Linked DNA regions of Arabidopsis thaliana. The protein of the gene in region 1 interacts with the protein of each later gene in a pairwise test. Each region holds a gene or a part of one and is shown on either strand. Other genes may lie near its edges. The genes, in order: AT4G38550 and CAD1.

What was found.
Region 2: the proteins of AT4G38550 (region 1) and CAD1 interact in a two-hybrid assay, tested with the Arabidopsis thaliana proteins (one large-scale study listed by BioGRID).

Annotation. Positions count from the first base shown.
Region 1 is NC_003075.7:18,021,768-18,031,187, forward strand, and holds AT4G38550 (phospholipase-like protein (PEARLI 4) family protein), read left to right. Parts: upstream 1-4,118; coding exon 4,119-4,170; exon of another isoform or gene 4,171-4,314; coding exon 4,315-4,532; exon of another isoform or gene 4,533-4,636; coding exon 4,637-4,741; exon of another isoform or gene 4,742-4,821; coding exon 4,822-4,950; exon of another isoform or gene 4,951-5,043; coding exon 5,044-5,166; exon of another isoform or gene 5,167-5,240; coding exon 5,241-5,618; exon of another isoform or gene 5,619-5,734; coding exon 5,735-5,941; exon of another isoform or gene 5,942-6,041; coding exon 6,042-6,779; 3' UTR 6,780-7,073; downstream 7,074-9,420. Other genes in the region: PLC1 (phospholipase C1), read left to right, coding at 1-226, 325-442, 511-741, 817-1,131; AT4G38540 (FAD/NAD(P)-binding oxidoreductase family protein), read left to right, coding at 1,420-1,499, 1,568-1,714, 1,795-1,857, 1,946-2,108, 2,189-2,417, 2,519-3,060; AT4G38560 (phospholipase-like protein (PEARLI 4) family protein), read left to right, coding at 7,508-7,628, 7,720-7,994, 8,089-8,541, 8,702-9,420.
Region 2 is NC_003076.8:17,730,601-17,740,143, reverse strand, and holds CAD1 (phytochelatin synthase 1 (PCS1)), read right to left. Parts: upstream 5,439-9,543; 5' UTR 5,269-5,438; coding exon 5,194-5,268; exon of another isoform or gene 4,922-5,193; intron 4,763-4,921; coding exon 4,606-4,762; intron 4,527-4,605; coding exon 4,288-4,526; intron 4,204-4,287; coding exon 4,040-4,203; intron 3,941-4,039; coding exon 3,889-3,940; intron 3,695-3,888; coding exon 3,467-3,694; intron 3,365-3,466; coding exon 3,175-3,364; intron 3,086-3,174; coding exon 2,820-3,085; intron 2,559-2,819; coding exon 2,472-2,558; 3' UTR 2,285-2,471; downstream 1-2,284. Other genes in the region: AT5G44080 (Basic-leucine zipper (bZIP) transcription factor family protein), read left to right, coding at 410-1,357; AT5G44065 (uncharacterized protein), read right to left, coding at 6,432-6,659; AT5G44060 (embryo sac development arrest protein), read right to left, coding at 8,483-8,935. UniProt on the Arabidopsis thaliana protein: Involved in the synthesis of phytochelatins (PC) and homophytochelatins (hPC), the heavy-metal-binding peptides of plants. Also involved in glutathione-conjugates degradation.

The DNA.
Region 1 (9,420 bases):
TTAAAGAGACTTCGTGGAACAGAGTAGCGAACAAGATTCTTGAAGAATATAAAGATATGGAGAGTGAAGCTGTAGGATATAGAGACTTGATAGCAATCCACGCTGCAAACTGCAAAGATCCTTCAAAGGATTGCTTGAGTGATGATCCAGAGAAGCCTATACGGGTCAGCATGGACGAGCAGTGGCTAGACACTATGGTTAGGACCAGAGGAACGGATCTTGTCAGGTAAAATATAGAGTGAGAGGAGTCATAATGTTGAACCTTTTTCGACTCAAGAGTTATAAGATGAACCTGAGTCAGAGTTTGAAAAAAAACAAAAACAGGTTTACACAGAGGAATCTGGTGAGGATATATCCAAAGGGCACAAGAGTGGACTCGTCAAACTACGATCCTCATGTTGGGTGGACACACGGTGCTCAAATGGTTGCTTTTAACATGCAAGTAAGTGGAACTGGCTCATCATCGTTTGACTTGTTAAAAAATGGTTGAATAATATTTGTGTTGAAAAGGGACATGGGAAGCAACTATGGATAATGCAAGGAATGTTCAGGGGGAATGGTGGATGTGGGTACGTTAAAAAGCCTCGCATCTTGCTAGACGAGCACACACTCTTCGACCCTTGCAAAAGGTTTCCCATTAAGACCACTCTTAAGGTTAAGATTTACACTGGCGAAGGATGGGATTTGGATTTCCATCATACACACTTTGATCAATACTCTCCTCCAGATTTCTTCGTCAAGGTAAACAACAACTACTACTCTTCTTTTAAACTAGATTTCTTCGTAACTGTGTGTGTGTTGCATTTGCTGCATCAGATTGGAATAGCAGGAGTACCGAGAGACACGGTCTCATACAGAACGGAAACAGCTGTCGATCAGTGGTTTCCTATATGGGGCAACGACGAGTTCCTGTTTCAGCTGTCTGTTCCAGAACTGGCGCTTCTGTGGTTCAAAGTCCAAGACTACGACAATGACACCCAGAATGATTTCGCAGGACAGACATGTCTTCCTCTGCCGGAACTGAAGTCCGGAGTTAGAGCCGTCCGGCTTCACGATCGAACAGGCAAGGCCTACAAGAACACGAGGCTTCTCGTCAGCTTCGCCTTGGATCCTCCTTATACGTTTCGTTGAATCTCGTTTTCTTTCCGAAATAAGCCACACAGTGTGTATCTCTGTTTGCACGTTTATAAATTTATAATGTACAATTATTTGCGCCCTAGCTAGAACGGGATAAAGTGTGACAACATATAAATACTATTAAAGATTCGATATTTGATGACTGTAGCCGCCTGCCTAGAACGGGGTGCCTTGTTTGACTTGCCAACTTCAACCACATTTCTTTTTGTTTACTTGAAAGTTAAAAATAAATACTAGAGAGGAAGAAAAACAGAGCTTTCTTTCTAAGATCATCAACGCACCATGGAAGAAGAAGGCAGCCCAGATATCATCATCGTTGGCGCCGGTATCTCCGGCCTTTCCACCGCTGTTGGACTACACAGGTGTGTGTGGCGTGCCTTTTGAGTTGTTATTAAGCAGAGTAAGTTAACTAAAGTGGTGTGTGTCACAGGCTTGGGATCAGAAGCATGGTGCTGGAATCTTCGGAGACACTGAGAGCGACAGGATTTGCATTTACCACTTGGTTCAATGCTTGGAAGGCCATGGAAGCTCTCGGCGTTTCTCAGCATATTCGCAGTCTCCATGATCGCCTTGAAGGGTATCAAACTAACACTATTATTACTATTCATATATAATCAGCTCAGTAAAAAAGGGGACTCATCTTTGATTTTGCTGCAGATGGGTGGTTGGAACAATTTCTGCAGGAACTCCTCCCACAGAGATGCTGTTTCCAGAATCCGAGTATGTTTCTTCTTCTCTGCACAGAGCATATGAATGTTAAAACAATAAATAAGATAACTTCAATAATATTGTTGAATGATTTTGTCAGAGAATATGAGTCTCGATGCGTACAGAGGAAGCTGTTGTTAGAGGCTCTAGCAGGTGAGTTGCCTGAAGAGACCATCAGGTTTTCGTCTAAGGTTGTTCATATTGAATTGTCTGGATGCTACAAGAAGGTTCATCTCTCCGACGGGACCATTCTCAAAACCAAGGTAAATAACTACTTGTCCTCTGTAAACCATGTGAGGCCTGGTCTTGCTACGGAATTGTAGGGTTTCTAAACGAAATGCAGGTTTTGGTAGGGTGCGATGGAGTGTACTCAGTGGTTGGTAAGTGGCTAGGCTTCAAAAATCCCGCTACAACTGCCCGGTTAGCAATCCGAGGGCTCACACATTTTCCGGAAGGCCATGGATTTGGGAAAAGGTTCTTCCAGTTTTATGGAGACGGCGTTCGTTCCGGTTTTATCCCATGTGACCACAACACTGTCTACTGGTTCCTAACCCACACCTCCACTGATATAGGTGAAGATATGCAACTTTACCTGATATCTAATATCTAACTACAAGCAGCTTCTTGTTCATATCATACTACTGTCTTTGACTCTTCTCCTTGCGCTTGTTAGATGAGGAGACAAATTCGGAAATCCTCAAAGAGTTTGTGCTGAACAAGATCAAAGACTTGCCTGAAAACATTAAGAATGTGGTGGAGACCACTGATCTTGATAGCATGGTGATGTCTCAACTGAAGTACCGACCTCCATGGGAACTGCTATGGTCAAACATCACAAAAGACAACGTGTGCGTTGCAGGAGATGCACTTCACCCAATGACTCCTGATATCGGACAAGGAGGTTGCTCAGCCATGGAGGATGGAGTTATCCTTGCTCGTTGTCTAGGTGAAGCGATAAAGGCAAAGAGTCTGAAAGGTGAAACAGAAGAAAATGAAGAAGAGGGTTATAAGAGGATTGAAGAAGGTTTGAAGAAGTATGCAGGAGAAAGGAAATGGAGAAGCATTGATCTTATAACAACGGCATATACAGTAGGATTCATACAGCAGAGCAGAGGGAAGTGGATGAACATGTTCAGAGACAGGTTCCTGTCGTCTTACCTTTCTAGGATGCTGCTGAAAAAGTCCCATTTCGATTGCGGAAGCCTTGTCCCATGATGATTCTCAAACATAAGTCAAAAGCTTGTGATTCTTCTTGTCATCACCAACTGCAGAACAGTTTTCACCTTTGGTTTGCTTCAAAGACTATCTATCTGTTTAGTGTTATTTCATATAACAAACTCAGAATTAATAAAGTAAGTTTGTGTAGTGAACAAGAAGCTCTTTTATTTTTTACGGCAATCTAAAGCTCTGATATCAACAAGTGATGAATGAGAAAAGAAAATGACTACTTCAATTGAACCATAGCAGAAGTTATGTTTATTACATTATAACGTATGCGAGCCTCGTTCAAACAGGAATGGATTCAGAAAGAAAAAGAAAAGGAACCTGAAGGCTGAGGAGAGATTTGAGTGTTAGGAAAGAGAGAAGAGGCAAGGTGACAAAAGTTCCCACTGGATCGAATCGCATCAGCGGCAACCCCGGTGGCCGGCGATGGCGAGCAGCGATGAAGACGCATGTGATCATCTGGGCGGGGCTGGGTTTTTAAGGAATTTCTCCTCTATTTGGGCCTTTCTTTTTTCTATTTTAAGGCCCATTTTGTGACTGCTTATGGGCCCATTTGAATACAGGAGAAAGGTCGCCACTATTGACCAAGTCATGGTTGCTGCCACTTGATTGATAAAGAAAAACGAAAACAAACAATTATGTGATTTAGATCTGAGTCTGACCAATATTGTTATATCTTTAGGAATTTGTTTGTTTGTAATAATTTATAAGTCAATAGTCAAATGAATGGTTATCGTAGACTTTTCCAATTGCCATTTTCTTGTTTATAAAAATATCCATAATACACAGACTTAAAGGGGCCTCTGACTCCATTATATCTATCGAATCATATATACCAGTCGTAGTATGACGCGTTGAAGAACAGAAACGAAACGAACCAAAAAGTCTTCTCCGGCAACTTTAGATCCTCCAGCAGCAAGGTACTCACTCTTATGAATTCCTAACATATGTATAATTACTATACAACCAAGGTACTAATTTGCATGCCTTCTTATGTTCCGGTCTAACCACAGATCATTTCTCAATCCCATCCTTTGCCTCAACCCAATATGGACTTCTTCACTTCAAGCAAAGCTAAGAAAGATAGCAAAAAATCATCAGGTAACTCCCTTTTTTGGGAATCTAAGATAATAGCCGGAATGTTTAACTCTCGCTGGGGATGGTGAAAGACTAGACTTTCTCAAACTGATCCTATTTAGTATTTACTATCATCATCCTCTTAGCATATCCAAACTTTCTCTTCAGGACTCTTTGGCAAGAAAACTGTCAGCAAGAGCACTCCGGGCAGCCCTGCTCATCCCCCCGGCGCTAGATCCCCGCCCCCATCGTATCTTTCAAACAAAAGAGCCGAAACAGAGTACGATTTCCCCATGTCCAATGAACAAAGACCATACTGGAAACAGCCTGCCTCTGAACGCGTCCCCAACTCCCACCCTAGGCCTCCCGTGTATGGATACGGCACGGTACTCATCTATCCCCTGTTTCATTCCCCAAAACCAATTGAGTTTATTTGAAACAAACGTAGTATACGTATCTAATACTGTGTTTGCCTTCTCCTCAATTGCAGCCCGACCATCGTCGAGACCACGGTAGAGAAAGAATGGAGGCCATGAGTTATGAGCCAGAGACCAACGCTCCTTCCAGCCCATATCATCCAGCTGGAAACCGCACGGTACTTTCTGCTTCTTCTGATTCGAGTCTTCTACTGTCTCCACCGTTTGTTTCCTGATACCATTCTCTCTAAACCTGCAGCCTGAACGTCCTAGGAAATCAACCGAGTATCGTCGAGAACACCAGGATCGAATGTATGAAGCAGATACCCGAAGCAATGCGAGCCCATTTCACCCATTCAGAAGCCCTTCTCCATCTCCATTCCACACGGTACTAATAACCTAAACTTCTGATGACCTGCTTCGTATTCAAACCCATCAATCACTAAATAGAATGCATTGCTTTTTAAATGCTTGATTTCAGCCTGATCGCCGCAGAGACCACTACGACATGTATGAGCCTGAGGCCAACACCATGCTGCAGAATAGCGCTCCAGGGAGCCCATTCCATCCAGCTGGAAGCCGCTCTCCACCACCATACAGAACGGTAAGTCTTGCTCGTGATTCTTGAGTACACGATGAGCCACATAGATGACATAAACTCTCTCTCTCTAATTGCAGCCTGATCGTCGTAGTAACTATGATAAAGAGCAATTTGAGGACCTGTACGAGCAAGATGGTGATGTCACACCGCGAAACAGCTCTCCACCGAGCCCGTTTCATCCAGCAGCATACAAAACGGTCGGTACTCAAAAACTCGATACTGGCTTCTTTTTGGGGATAAGTAAATCAAATTCTCTTTCTAGTGAGTCACTTAGACTGACAATAGAATATGTTCTTGTTATGCTGCAGTCTGATCAACGTAGTAACCATGGTAAAGAGCAAATTGAGGACTTTTATGAGCAAGATGACGATGTAACACCACGAAACAGCTCTCCACCTAGCCCATTGCATCCAGCAGCAAGCCATTCACCACCACCACCACAACCATACAGAACGGTACTCAAAAAATCTTAAGTCTGGCTCATTGTTTTTGTTTCAGCTTCTTCCTAGTGATAAAAAACGTCCTCTTGACAGTGAGTCACATATATTGAATTTTCTCTCTAATTGTGCAGCCTGACCATCGTAGAAGCCACCAGGATAACGAGGATTTCGAGGCAATGTATGAGCTAGATGGCGACTTAATACACCAGAAGAGCGCTCCTCCGAGTCCCGTTCATGGACCATACTATTCATCCAGCGACGACGATAATCACTCCACCTACCTCTATCCAGAAATCCGCAGCCCACTTCGTTCCAGGATCGTATCCGAGAACAGCACGGTGTGAATCCTTTCCCAACTCTCTCTCTCTCTCTCTCACAGTCACTAATGATTCTGAAATGCCTAAAAAACAAAGAAATGACAATGCTTTAAACCTGCAGCCTGTTCACCACAACTACCAGATAGTTGCGGCCGAGACCTATGAGCAAGACAAGCAGTTCGAGCCGCCGGAGCTGCCTGACGAGTCACAAAGCTTCACAATGCAGGAGATTACCAAAATGCGAGGACTCAAGAACTACGAAAGCGGCAAGGAAGAGAGTCAATCAATGATATCCGAGGCTTACGTATCCGTCGCGAATTACAGAGTGAGGCAGAGCGTGTCGGAAACCCTGCAGGCGATCATCGACAAGCACGGCGACATCGCAGCCTCCTCGAAGCTGCAAGCAATGGCAACTCGGTCTTATTACCTGGAATCCCTAGCCGCTGTGGTGATGGAGCTGAAAAAGACGGTTCTGAGGGATTTGACGAAAACGCGCGTGGCGGAGATCGCGGCGGTGGTGAAAGACATGGAGTCGGTGAAAATCAACGTGTCGTGGCTAAAGACAGCGGTAACGGAACTGGCGGAGGCGGTGGAGTATTTCGGGCAGTACGACACGGCGAAGGTGGAGAAAGAGGTGTGCGAGAGAGATCTGACGGCGAAAAAGGGGGAGATGGAGGAGATGACGGCGGAGCTGGTGAAGAGGGAGAAGGAAATCAAAGAATGCAGAGAGAAGGTGACGGTGGTCGCAGGGAGGCTAGGGCAGCTGGAGATGAAAGGTTCGAAATTGAACAAGAATCTCGACCTCTTCCAGTCCAAAGTCCACAAATTCCAAGGAGAAGCCGTCCTTCTCCACCTTTAGCTCCGTCTCCAATTTCTTCCGTTTTGGATCTCATTATTCAATTATTTTCTATTGACATGAAATGTTTATAAATTTAAAGTTTGGGGCCATTAGTGTAATTCTTAAAAAGATTTAAAAAGCTTTTATGTTGAATGTTGAGAGTCAAGGTCAGCTATTGCAGAAGCGTAGATTGTTTCAGAGTCAAGCATCTCAATACATTGTAATAATATGCATGCGTGTGTTTCAAGCTATATATTTATGTATGTGCATTTTACTCTTGTTTATATCTTCTGTGATATCAAAACTTGATTGACTTGGTGGTCAACACTTGTTATAGCAAACAAACAAACTATAGCAGTACTCTCTCAGTCTCTTGTATGCATTGCAAAGAAAAAACAAAACATCCGTCTCCTTTCAGCCTCAGATTTCAACAATTTGTTCTTTACTTCTGAAATTTCCTCATTTCGTGAATCCTTCAAGTCAATTCTGTGTCGTGTTCTCAGACCTATTCATTCCATCACAATCATCCATCTCAATTTCCTTCCTTCTTCCTCTGAAACCTTTTGACTCTGTCTTTGGTTGTAAACTTCTTTGCTTTTTTCCTGTTAGCGTAAACCCTCACTTTTATAACAACTTCTCACTTTCTTCGTGTGGAGGATCTTTCCAGAGAGAGAGAGAAAGATATACGCTTCTCTGTTAATTAGTCAGGTTCTAAGTTTTGATCTCCAAGTCTCTGAGAGGGTAGTGGCATGTCTGGAATAGTACATCATGATTGTCCTAACTCAGGAAATCCCTACCACGAGTGCCACGATCAGTGTTTCAAGAGAATAAGCTCCGGAGATGTCCCCAAGAAGGAGAAAAAACGGTTTGGTAAGAAGCTTCTCATTTTGTTTGCATTTCAAGATGACTGTACTTGTTATATAGATTAAAGAAACTGTGGAACTTTGTCTCTTTGTCTAAGGCTTTGGTAAACCAGCTTGTAGCAAGGAAACGCCTCTTACCAGTCCGGTTCGTGTTATTGCGGGAAACAGATCACCACTTCCGAGTTATTACGGAAAAAGAATGGATGAGTCAGACGAGTCCCCCTCCTTCTCTTCCTCCGATGACTCTTTCAATGCAAACTTGCCCACACCACGTTCCACTTTACATGGGAACGAAACTGCCCCGGGAATCAATTGGCTCCCCATGTCGCCTTCTTTCGCTGTGTATTGCAAGAAAGATTGTTTCTCATCAAGGGTGAGCATTTATTCTCGGTCAGTGTTATCTATATAAACTTTGTTAAGTGCACATCTTTTGGATGTTTATTTTGGCTCTTGTTTTCGATGTGAAGATCGATCACCGTGAAGGTGAAGCTCCAATTCTTGATGAAATGCCATCTAAGACTCGGCTTAAGACACCTCTAAGTCCTGATACTAGGCCAAGGAAATCAGAACACAGGACAAGAAACCAAGGACCACGCTCAAAGACTCCAGAACCTAGAGGAAGTTACCTTGAACCACCCAGGTCTAGGATCCCACAAACTCAGCCGGTACCACACAGATCCCTTGAAAGTGCTGGTCTCAAATCACCTCAGAAAGGTGAAACTCGGCCTCATATCCCCCAAACTCAGCCAACATCCTTCAACATCGGTGGTAACTATCATTACGCTGCTCAAGCATCCAAATATCATGCTAATAAAGCGGATTCAGTGTACACTAAAGACAGAGACAAATGCGTTATACTTTATCCCGATATTCTTTTGTCCCCTCAAGAAAATCTGACATCAAGATCCATTACGGTATTGGTCTGTCTCTCTGCTTTAGCATCTGTCATTTATCTTAATTAGTACCGCAGAAACATGAGTCTGATCAACAAGAATAACTTTCCACTCTTGGATGGCTCTATTTATCAAGAAGAGTATTGCTCAAATAATCACAAGAAATTTTCCTTCATCTCTCCTGCAGATGCTTCCCCAAAAATCCCGTACACCACTAGACAAACAATCGAAGGAGCCATTACAGCTGCCTGTCGAATGCCATAGCTTTACTCCATCTGAGATCGAATGCATGAAAGCGTTAAAGATTTACGAAACAGGAGAGGAAATGAAGTCAATGATTTCAGAGTCGTATGTCTCTGTAGGAAGCTACAAGGTCAGAGCGAGCGTCTCGTCCACTCTGCAGAAAATCCTGGACAAGCATGGAGACATAGCGTCCGGTTCCAAACTTCAGTCACTGCGCACAAAATCTTACTCGCTTGAGACTCTAGCCGCGGTGGTTCTTGAACTCCAATCGACGCCCCTGAAGAAATTGAAGCAGGCACGCGTGTTGGAAATGCTATCGGTTGTTATAGACGCAGAGTCTGTTAAAATCAGAGCTGGTTGGCTCAGGGAGATCCTGAACGAGATTCTTGAAGCGGCCCACCACTATGATGGACACGAGACAACGGTGGTGGAGAAGGAAGGGCGTGAACGGGATATGCTGCTTGAAAGAGAAGAAATGAAGAAGATACAGGAGGAGGTGAGATTGAAGGAGAAGGAGGCAAAGGACTTTCGTAAAGGAGTCATGGAAATGGCAGGGCGTTTGGGAGAACTGAAGATGAAGCGAGCGCGTTTGGAGAAACGCTTGGCGTTTCTGAGCTCCAAGGTGGAAAAGTTTGAGGGGGAATCTTTGTTAGAGAACGTCTT
Region 2 (9,543 bases), on another chromosome or scaffold:
ATAATACATTAATGATCTTGAAATAATTGATGCAAGTTTGACAACTACAGTTTGATGACACGCGACAAAACTTCCCACGCGCTCCAAAAGTTAGAAAATCTTATCCATTTTGATTTTAACCTTATCCAATTTACCAAAATCAGCTCTTTTCTTTGGTAAGTCTAAAAATTAAAACTCACGTGCCACATATGCGCGTGGTATTTTAAAAAAGTAATAAAAGTCAATTAATTACAATTTGGGATAAATTACCAAAAGTTCTCAAAGGTTCTCAATTCGACACAAAAAGCCCTAATCTCTGCTTCTGTAAAGTTCAACATTTGGCGGAGTCAAAGAAACAGAGTGATTCTCTGATCCGATTCCGGCGAAAGAGGACGAAACAAACGGAACTTGTTCATCATCTTCTCCAGAAATGACGTCGTTTCAGGTGATGCGTTCTTCAAATTCGAGAAACTCGGATCTATCTCGTCGCATCTCTTCTGCTTCTACTTCTTCTTCGTCTATAAGACCTCAACAACAGTTCCGGCGAGATCTAACAAGTGTCGGTTACGGCGGAAGAAACGACGGATTATACAGTTCAAATTCGATGACGGTCGAAGGGATTTTACACGATACTTTCGCATCAGATCCACCAGCACCAACGGAATCTTCACTCTTAGATGCGTCGATAAATCTGATGGATGCTTCTCCAGCACCAATGGAGATAACAACAACGACGGCTTCTGATGTTGTGGATCACGGCGGAGGAACGGAGACGACGCGTGGTGGGAAGAGTGTTGATGAGATTTGGAGAGAGATGGTATCAGGAGAAGGTAAAGGGATGAAGGAAGAGACGTCGGAAGAGATAATGACGTTAGAGGATTTTCTAGCGAAAGCTGCGGTGGAAGACGAAACAGCGGTGACGGCGTCGGCGGAGGATTTGGATGTGAAGATTCCGGTGACGAATTACGGATTCGATCATTCTGCACCGCCGCATAATCCGTTTCAGATGATTGATAAAGTAGAAGGATCAATAGTTGCGTTTGGGAATGGTTTAGATGTTTACGGAGGAGGAGCTAGAGGGAAGAGAGCGAGAGTGATGGTTGAGCCATTGGATAAAGCAGCTGCACAGAGACAGAGAAGGATGATTAAGAATCGTGAATCTGCAGCTAGGTCTAGAGAGAGGAAACAAGCTTATCAAGTTGAGTTAGAAGCTTTGGCTGCGAAGCTTGAGGAAGAGAATGAGTTGCTTTCTAAGGAGATTGAAGATAAGAGGAAAGAGAGATACCAGAAGTTGATGGAGTTTGTGATTCCTGTTGTTGAGAAACCGAAGCAGCAGCCACCACGGTTTTTACGCAGGATTCGGTCTTTGGAATGGTGATAAGAGGTATAGACTTTTGAGGATTTTAGGGTCTTAATGTTACTTACTTTGTGTATGTGTGTGTGAGAGTTGATTCATAATCTGCAGTAGAGTGTAATGATTATGGTTAATAACTTATATATTATATTAGATTGCATATGTTATTGGTTTTGCTGAGATTGATCTTATTTAGGCTGATCATAGTGAAGAGGGTACCAATGGAAACGAGATTCTTCATTTTGTTCTGAAAGATCTGGATTTTGGTCCTTATCCATGTCTGTGGAGGTAAAGCGAACAGAAGTGCAGTGATGACATCGTTTCCTGCTATGTACTTTGCTTCTGGACCATACTCAGAACCTTTGGTGACAGATTGGGTTGACGGCACCAATAGGCCAACCTCTTGTTCATTATTGGTATTAACTACCATCCCTGCTGTCACTTTAGCTTCCTCAACCCCAGGCATCAATGCATTTAACAGAACTATCTCGACAATAGAAGTCTTTCGATGAGCTTCCAGATAAGATAAGAGCTCCTGAAGTTAAGAACTTTCTGACGTGCTCCAACAGTTACAGTTCCATGCACTTGTGTCACTGCATCTCGCTGTGACCAGAGATTAGATAATCAAGTCAAGTGAAGATATTGATGGCCACAATGAACATTTAAGTAGGAGAATGAGATTTGAAAATCTCTCTGAATCATACATAGAATAAAGAGATTTTCTAAGAATCAAAACCATATCTCTGTCAGTATTTATAGCCACTGATCGGTGAAAAAGTGACCAGATCCAGTCTGCAATAGGATCTGTTAGAATCCGGATTCAAAATTTGACTGTCTAATACGAATGATCCTTAGCAAAACAGTGTACACAGTTGGGACTAAGGGATACTGTTGTTTTGAATGTAAGCCTTTGGTACTTATTTGTGGATAGTGGATTCATAATCTGCATTTGAGTGTGATGAAATATGATTCTAGGATTCTTAACTTATTGTGATTAACAATTTATAGAATGCAAGTTACATATATCTCTCATTGCAAATAGAGTTTGAATCGTACAGAGAATAAAGAGACTTTCTAACAATTAAGTGTTGAGAACGTGGGATTCAAATGGGGAAGAGAGAGGATTTGGGACAATGAACTAATAGGCAGGAGCAGCGAGATCATCCTCTTCCTTGTTCTCTTGGCATCGTTTTAGCAGCTGAAGTTGCCGTCGAAGATGCAATACCTGCATTTACACCAAATTCACCACGTTACTCATCTGCTTCACAGATTCATTTCACCAAGTACTCATTTAGATTCGGCATTTGATTTAGCTATATCTAAGGATGAACTCGAAAATAGTCATTGTCAATCTCAACTTAGATTAAGTTATTTGTTTCTTTTCCAAAAGACTTATATATCTCAAGTACAAAGATCCCATTTTCCACTAGAGAGAGAACCGTGACTCTTGATGATTACCGATAAATAGAATTGGTAAAAGCGTTACCTCTTCTTGAAGCAAAGTTGGGAGGGAAGCCATGGAAATGAGCTGCTTCATTTCATGCATAAGAGCTTGGTCTTTGATCCCTGACCATGTCTGTGGAGGTAAAGCCAATAGAAGTGCAGTGAACACATCGTTTCCTGCTGGATAAGTTGCTTCAGGACCACATTCACACTCAGTTTGCGTCGATGGCACTAACAGATCAACCTTTTGTTCATTCCCATCACGCACCACAACTCCAGTCACCACCGTGCCTTCAGAGTCATCAGGACCTTAATAGGAAACAAAAAATTAACAGTTGATCTAACACCAAAACTTTTAACTATGATAAGAAATTTGAAGAATCGACATGGCGACATACCTTTGATGCATTTCACGCAAGTTTCCCGACAACAAAACTCTTTTGATGGGCTTCCGGATAAGATTTCAGCTCCTTGGCAACAAGCCTTTGCAGCAGCATAAGTCAGACTGTCTTCATAACCCACTGTGGATAAGAACTTATTGATGTGTTTGAACAGTTCAGTTTCGTGCACTTCCTTCAGCACCAATTGCTGCGGTAGATTAAAGTTATGATTAAAATCATGTGTCACATAAACCAACAGAACAGTTTCCATGCAGCTTTAGGTTTCTATGAAAAATTATCCTGAAGATACCTTTAGTTTCAGCCTAGACTTCTCCTCTGCGCTGAGATTTTGGTTTGAGTCCTCTGTAATTCGGATCTCAGCCACCCATCTGATGAATTGGTTGAAATTTGATGGAAGTGACTTGAACACAACTGATATGATTTTCTCCACAGAATCTACATGCTGTGAACTTACAAGACGAGGAACATCTTCCTTCAAATACTTGGCTATTTCGATCCAGCTTTCATCCTTGCAGCTCTGGTATAGATATATAAAAGCAAAATTATCACCAATCCACAAGTTTTGTCTTACCAAAATGCTCATAAGGATCTCAAGTTCATTCAATACATGTGGAAGAGATTGTGAGTGAGAAAATTGCATTAATAGAATAGCAAAATTGAAGAAAAAGATATTAGCAAACTTAAAGAGAACCTATATTGCATCGAACATACCAGAGTATAGAGCAATCCGGGTTCTCTGTGTGGTCTAGATATGAGCATGAACCTGAGAACAACACAGAAAAAAATCAGACCATATTATATAGAAATATTACATCCATGATACAGTAAGAACCTAAGCGAAAGATAAGAAAAGATTATGTACCCTCTACGTTTCCCTGTTGACTGATCAATACTGTCCATGGCTTCCCAAAGAAGTTTAAGAGGAACCCAGTGAGGGGGATACTTGAAACGAGCAACATCAAGAATCAAAGCCATATCTCTCTCAGCATTATAGCCACCAATAGGTGAAAAGTGACCAGTCCCAGTCTGCAATTATAGCCACCAGACGTTTTAAAACTTGAAAATATGACTGAGCCTTAGCAAAACAGTGTGTACAAAGTTATGCTTTACCTGCTTAAATACACCTCGGTGATATGTTGAGATCATATGACAATTCTCAGAACTCGTGCATTTGACGACAAATTTGCGGAAATCATCAATGGTGCTCTGACTTGTACGGAAAGCCTCAACTTTTGCTCCTGAACAATGAGCCAAACAGACAACTTTTCCAAATGAAATGCCTTTTTCCTTCACTACTTCCAGAGGTTCGCAGCAATCCAACATTGATTCATCAAACCACCTCCAAGGCCCTATTGGAAGAGAGGAAAACTTTTTATAAAAAACCATCATTTATTTAGTGTGGACATAATTTGCTTCAATCTTGCATACCTTTCCATTTACGTCCAGGATCGATAGAAAGAGCATTCAACACCACTGAGAGACTAGCCAAACCACAATACGCAGGTTCGGATTGTGTCTGAAAATACGAAATCAACCTGAAAAATCCTTCCATAGTTCCTTTCTGAAGCGCTTCATTGAAGATTAGCTGCCACAAATGATCAAAAATACTTTTTAGACATCAACACAGCTAACATTAACAAGTACATCTCCAGTAAATATAACCACCAAGCGTACTACTTCCAGAAACACTATCACTGAAATTACTTGGAGATATATTCAGATCTCTGTGATCACTGTCACTGACCTTAGAAGGTTCACAAGTGATGATCACTGTCAACGACTACATTATGTGTTTTCACAATTCAAATCCAAATCCAGTATCTAATTTTACAAAACGCGTTTGATTCAAGTTCTGAACGAATTGTAAGATCTCATGAGTATTGAAGACAAAAACAAAAACGAAATCGAGATTGGAGTCTGGAGATCGTGATTCATCAGAACCACAGAAAAATTCGCGTAACCAAAAACCTAGTTTATAATCGCAATCCATGAAATCGAAACTTGATCCGTACGTACCTTGCCTTCGGCGGAAGAAAAGTCAATGGCCGGAGGAGAAGGAAGAGATCGCCGATATAAACTCGCCATAGCCATTTTTCACTGCTTGTTTTGGTATCTATATATACTGAGAAATTACAGAGGAACACAAAAGTGTTTGCTGTGGAAGATTCGTTAGTGGATTCGAAAATAACTTTCGGTGTGTGAGATTCGAAATTGGGAAGATGATGATTTGCGTATTTAATATACAGACTCACTCAATTATTTGAACTCTCTCAGGTCAATGCTCTCTCTTGGTCAACTCTAATGTGAAAAGCCGTTAGTGTTGACCTCGTCAAAATCATCCGGTTTGGGTTGCTTCGGTTTGGTTGGTATTACTTGTACACTACATTTAATGTGAATTAATACAATTTCTGAAAATGAGACCATTATTACGAAATTTTAAGGGGATTATTTTAATTTCGGTTATTGAAATTTGGTTTTTGTTGTAGAATTTTATGAACTAGTAGGTTAACAAAATATTCGGTTTTGTTTGGTTTTGGAGTTTGGATGACTAAAGGATTGACGACGTGTGGTCACCGTTAGTCTTTGGTCAAAGTTGGCGCGAGAGAGGGAAGACTTCTTGAACCGGTATGGTCAGAGGACTTTGGTTTATTTGTAGCGTAAACGTCTCAATCAATCATCAATTATGTAGAATAACCATTTGGTTCCCAAATTACAATCCAACTTGGAATTATGTAGTACTATTTATTGGAAGTTTCGGATTTTTTTTAGAGATTTTGCAAGTGTTACGAGCTATCCAACTTTTGAATTATATGTTTTAGCCTAATTGACAATATTACAATCCAAATTGACTGTAATTTGTTATTTTCACTGTTATTGCAATGTTATTCATCAAAAATATTACAAGGCCTAAATAACAGTAGCCTTGTTCTGAGAAAATTATGGAAATAGAAAAAAAAAATACTATGACCAAAACATTGAGAGTTGAAAAAGGAGAAGCAAAAAAGTTATACTACATAATATGATAAATATAAGTTTTATGTTGTTAGGAATTTGAAAAGTTAAGTGAAAAGTTAGTTTTATGTGGTTCGTACATGACATTGTAAGTATATATTCAATGAGTATGTTTGTTGTTTTTTACGCCATTTGTTATTATCCAAAATACAAATTCTTCTAGAAATTGAGGGTATATTATTGGAACAATACACTTTCAACCATCATTTTGAAGATGATCATCCTCAAAGTACATAATCTTTTCAAACGGATTTGATGAGTTTCTTGTGGGCTACTGAACGCCGTAGTAACCTAAGACAAAACAGATCATTTTGAACTTTCTTCTCACCAACTGGTAGAGGCGATTGAGCATCCACGTTGGTTTCCCCTGTTTTGTCAATTGATAGTTGATTCTTGAAATTCATCGAATGGAAAGTAGAATGTACACTAGAACCTTGCAATGGGACTACAATTGAGATTTCCAAAAGCATCACGAAAGATCTTATATCGCTAGTGAAAGGGTCTTGTTGGTTATAGGACAAGATAATTATCAAAACTCAAAAGCAAGAGGAATTTGATTAATCGTGAAGGTGATATTTCTTCCCCTACAAGACTTTGTTGGTTTTAGACTGATATGGTTTTGAGCTTTATTGTTCTGCTCTTTGATTTCAAGGCCTTGTTCATGTTTTCCCTTTGTATTAGTGTTTTCTTGTTTCGCTCCCTTCATGTATTCTTTGATTTCTGTAAAGGCATAACAATTATTGTGGTAAAAGAAAAAAAAAGATTATTTACTTACGATGCTCTAATTCATTACAATTTACAACTAACTTTAATAATTCTTATAGTATATATATTTAATATACTACCAATATGAAGTAAAACTAGATTGTGTATAGACATTACATATATGGATACCCAGTTGGTTGTACTGAGAGACCCTCTATTCCAACCAATGTGGGTCACATTGCTTTAGATATGTCTGAGATTTTCAAATTTGCAGCTGTTCTGCTTCGATCAAAATTTCAAAAAATTAAAGATGAGCAAAAATAAAATATGAAGAATTAAAGAACTCACCAACCCATGAGAAATGTACTTAAATTCAAGAGGTTCTCAGATTCCCTACATATGTACACAGTAATCACCAACAAAAACGTTCAATAAACATGAGAAGCTTGAGTTCGAAATGGAAAAGTAAGAGCATAAGATAAGTCATAAGAGTGATAAGGAAACAGATCAAAAGATAATACTATTAGAAAACTAATGTAAGTTATAAGCAACAATTGAAGCTGAAGAGTCATTGAAACTCCATTGACCCATAATCAAACAAATGGTCAATGGATAACAAATATTCGACCTGACTGGTTAATGCAGTTAACCTCAATGCCGTGATGCTTGGGAGTCAAAGATTCTGTATCACCAAGAAACAACAAAGAGCTTCACAAATGTTGATATAGATAGATTCTTATTTAAATTGAACTGAAGAATCGAAAACATAATCACCATTTTTTTTGTCCACTGCTAACTACAAAATCCAACGAACAAACCACAATGAGATCATAGAACCATGTTCTGAATTACCCAAGTATTCAAGTATTGTCCTTTGAACTTTTCCTGTGATTAAGAAACTTTATAGAACCAGCAAAACACACGAATTCAATTCTAAAAATAGAAAAAAAAAAAAAAATTAGTCAAGTAAAGGGCATCATCATCATCAGATGATATACTACATCTAAAAACTCAGGCTCTTAATTCCTGTTTAAGAATTCAAGTAAATTAGTGTCTTCAAAAATGATCGGTATAATTAGCATTTCCAGTAACTTCTGATAATCATCTCAAAATAAAGGTAAAATTTTTACAAACTCAAAACAGAGATCATATTAATAAGTTCTTGCAAGAATCAAAGTATACAAAGGGACTGATCTTCACTCTATTTGCTTCCCAGATCAGGAGATTCATATTGTTGAATTAACACGGATCTAAGATTGATTCAACAGGTTAAGTAATCTAAAATCATTACGCATTAATCATTTTTGTTCATCTTCAAAATAAGTAATAATAACATAACAAAAAAATGGTTGAATCTGGGTTCAATTTGGTCAATTTAAAAGCATAATTAGACCAGATTTGCAACATTCAAAAAAACCCTAAAACATTTCTGAGTCAATTTCGATGAAGACGATGAAGAGAGAGCTTTTTACAAAAAAACATTAATGGACAAAAAATAAAAGATAGAGAAGAGGAATGTTTCGGTGTTACAGCTGTTTTGTTTTTCTAAACGACGAACCAATAATACGACTCCACGTGGATTTACGCATCACAATTTAAGGAATCGGGCAAGCTGTGACGGGTTAACGATACCGGGCAAATGGGTCCCATCTACCCGGAGTATGTTAGCAACCTCCACATATCTCCTCCGTTTATGATCACTCGGCTCTATATCATGGCTCGGCTTATTCTTTCTAGGGTCAATAGATTGGGTCGTTAATGGGCCGGCTTGGGCTTTAGTTGGATTCCAAAGCTCTCCGAAGAGTGTGCCATTGTTGAGAAACTCATGAGCCAAGTAACCGGCTAAGAGCTGATTCGAACAAACCGGCTCGGCTAAGGCTACAGTGGCGGTGGTAGTTGGTCGAGGGATGATCGGCGTTTTCTTGACGATGGATTTAGTCGGCGGCGGTGGTGGATTTATCACGGCGGATTCCGTTTGTTTGCCGGCGACGGCGCCGGAGGTAACTCGGCGTGGGGGAAGACGCATCGTTTTTGTATTCATGGCTGTTTCTTTTTAAGTGCATGCCACGTCATCGACAGTAATTTTTAAATTAATTACTGCGGTGAAACAGTATTTTTAAACAACCCGAGAAGGCTTTTTATTTTTTAATCTCTGTTTCTTTAACTTAAGAAATAATAAGTAGAGATAGAGAGAGAGATAGAGAGAGAATTAGACGATTTGAGAGAGGAGGAGAAATGAAAGGACAAGGAGATTTCAAGTAGGGTTACGACAATATATAGAAGAAGGAAGAATAAATTACCCTTTAATATTGCCAAAATTACGAACAATGCCATTCGTGAGTAAATGACTTAATTGTCCTTTCTTCTTTACCATATCTTCTAATTTGGGTTACCAATGGAACAAGTAAGGAAAATATGAAAGAGCTTTTGGGGTTGAAGAAAAAGGAATCTGCTTTTTTTGAATTTGTTTTCTCTTAATCTCATAAATAGATTCTGATTATAGATTTTATTACCAAATGATATGTGAAGTTATTTTTTATGTCTTTATGAAATAGTTATAATATGTCAAATCAATTTATGTTTATTATATATAAGTATATAACAAACAAATAATGGGATTTTAAAATCAACTAGTGGTACTATATGATA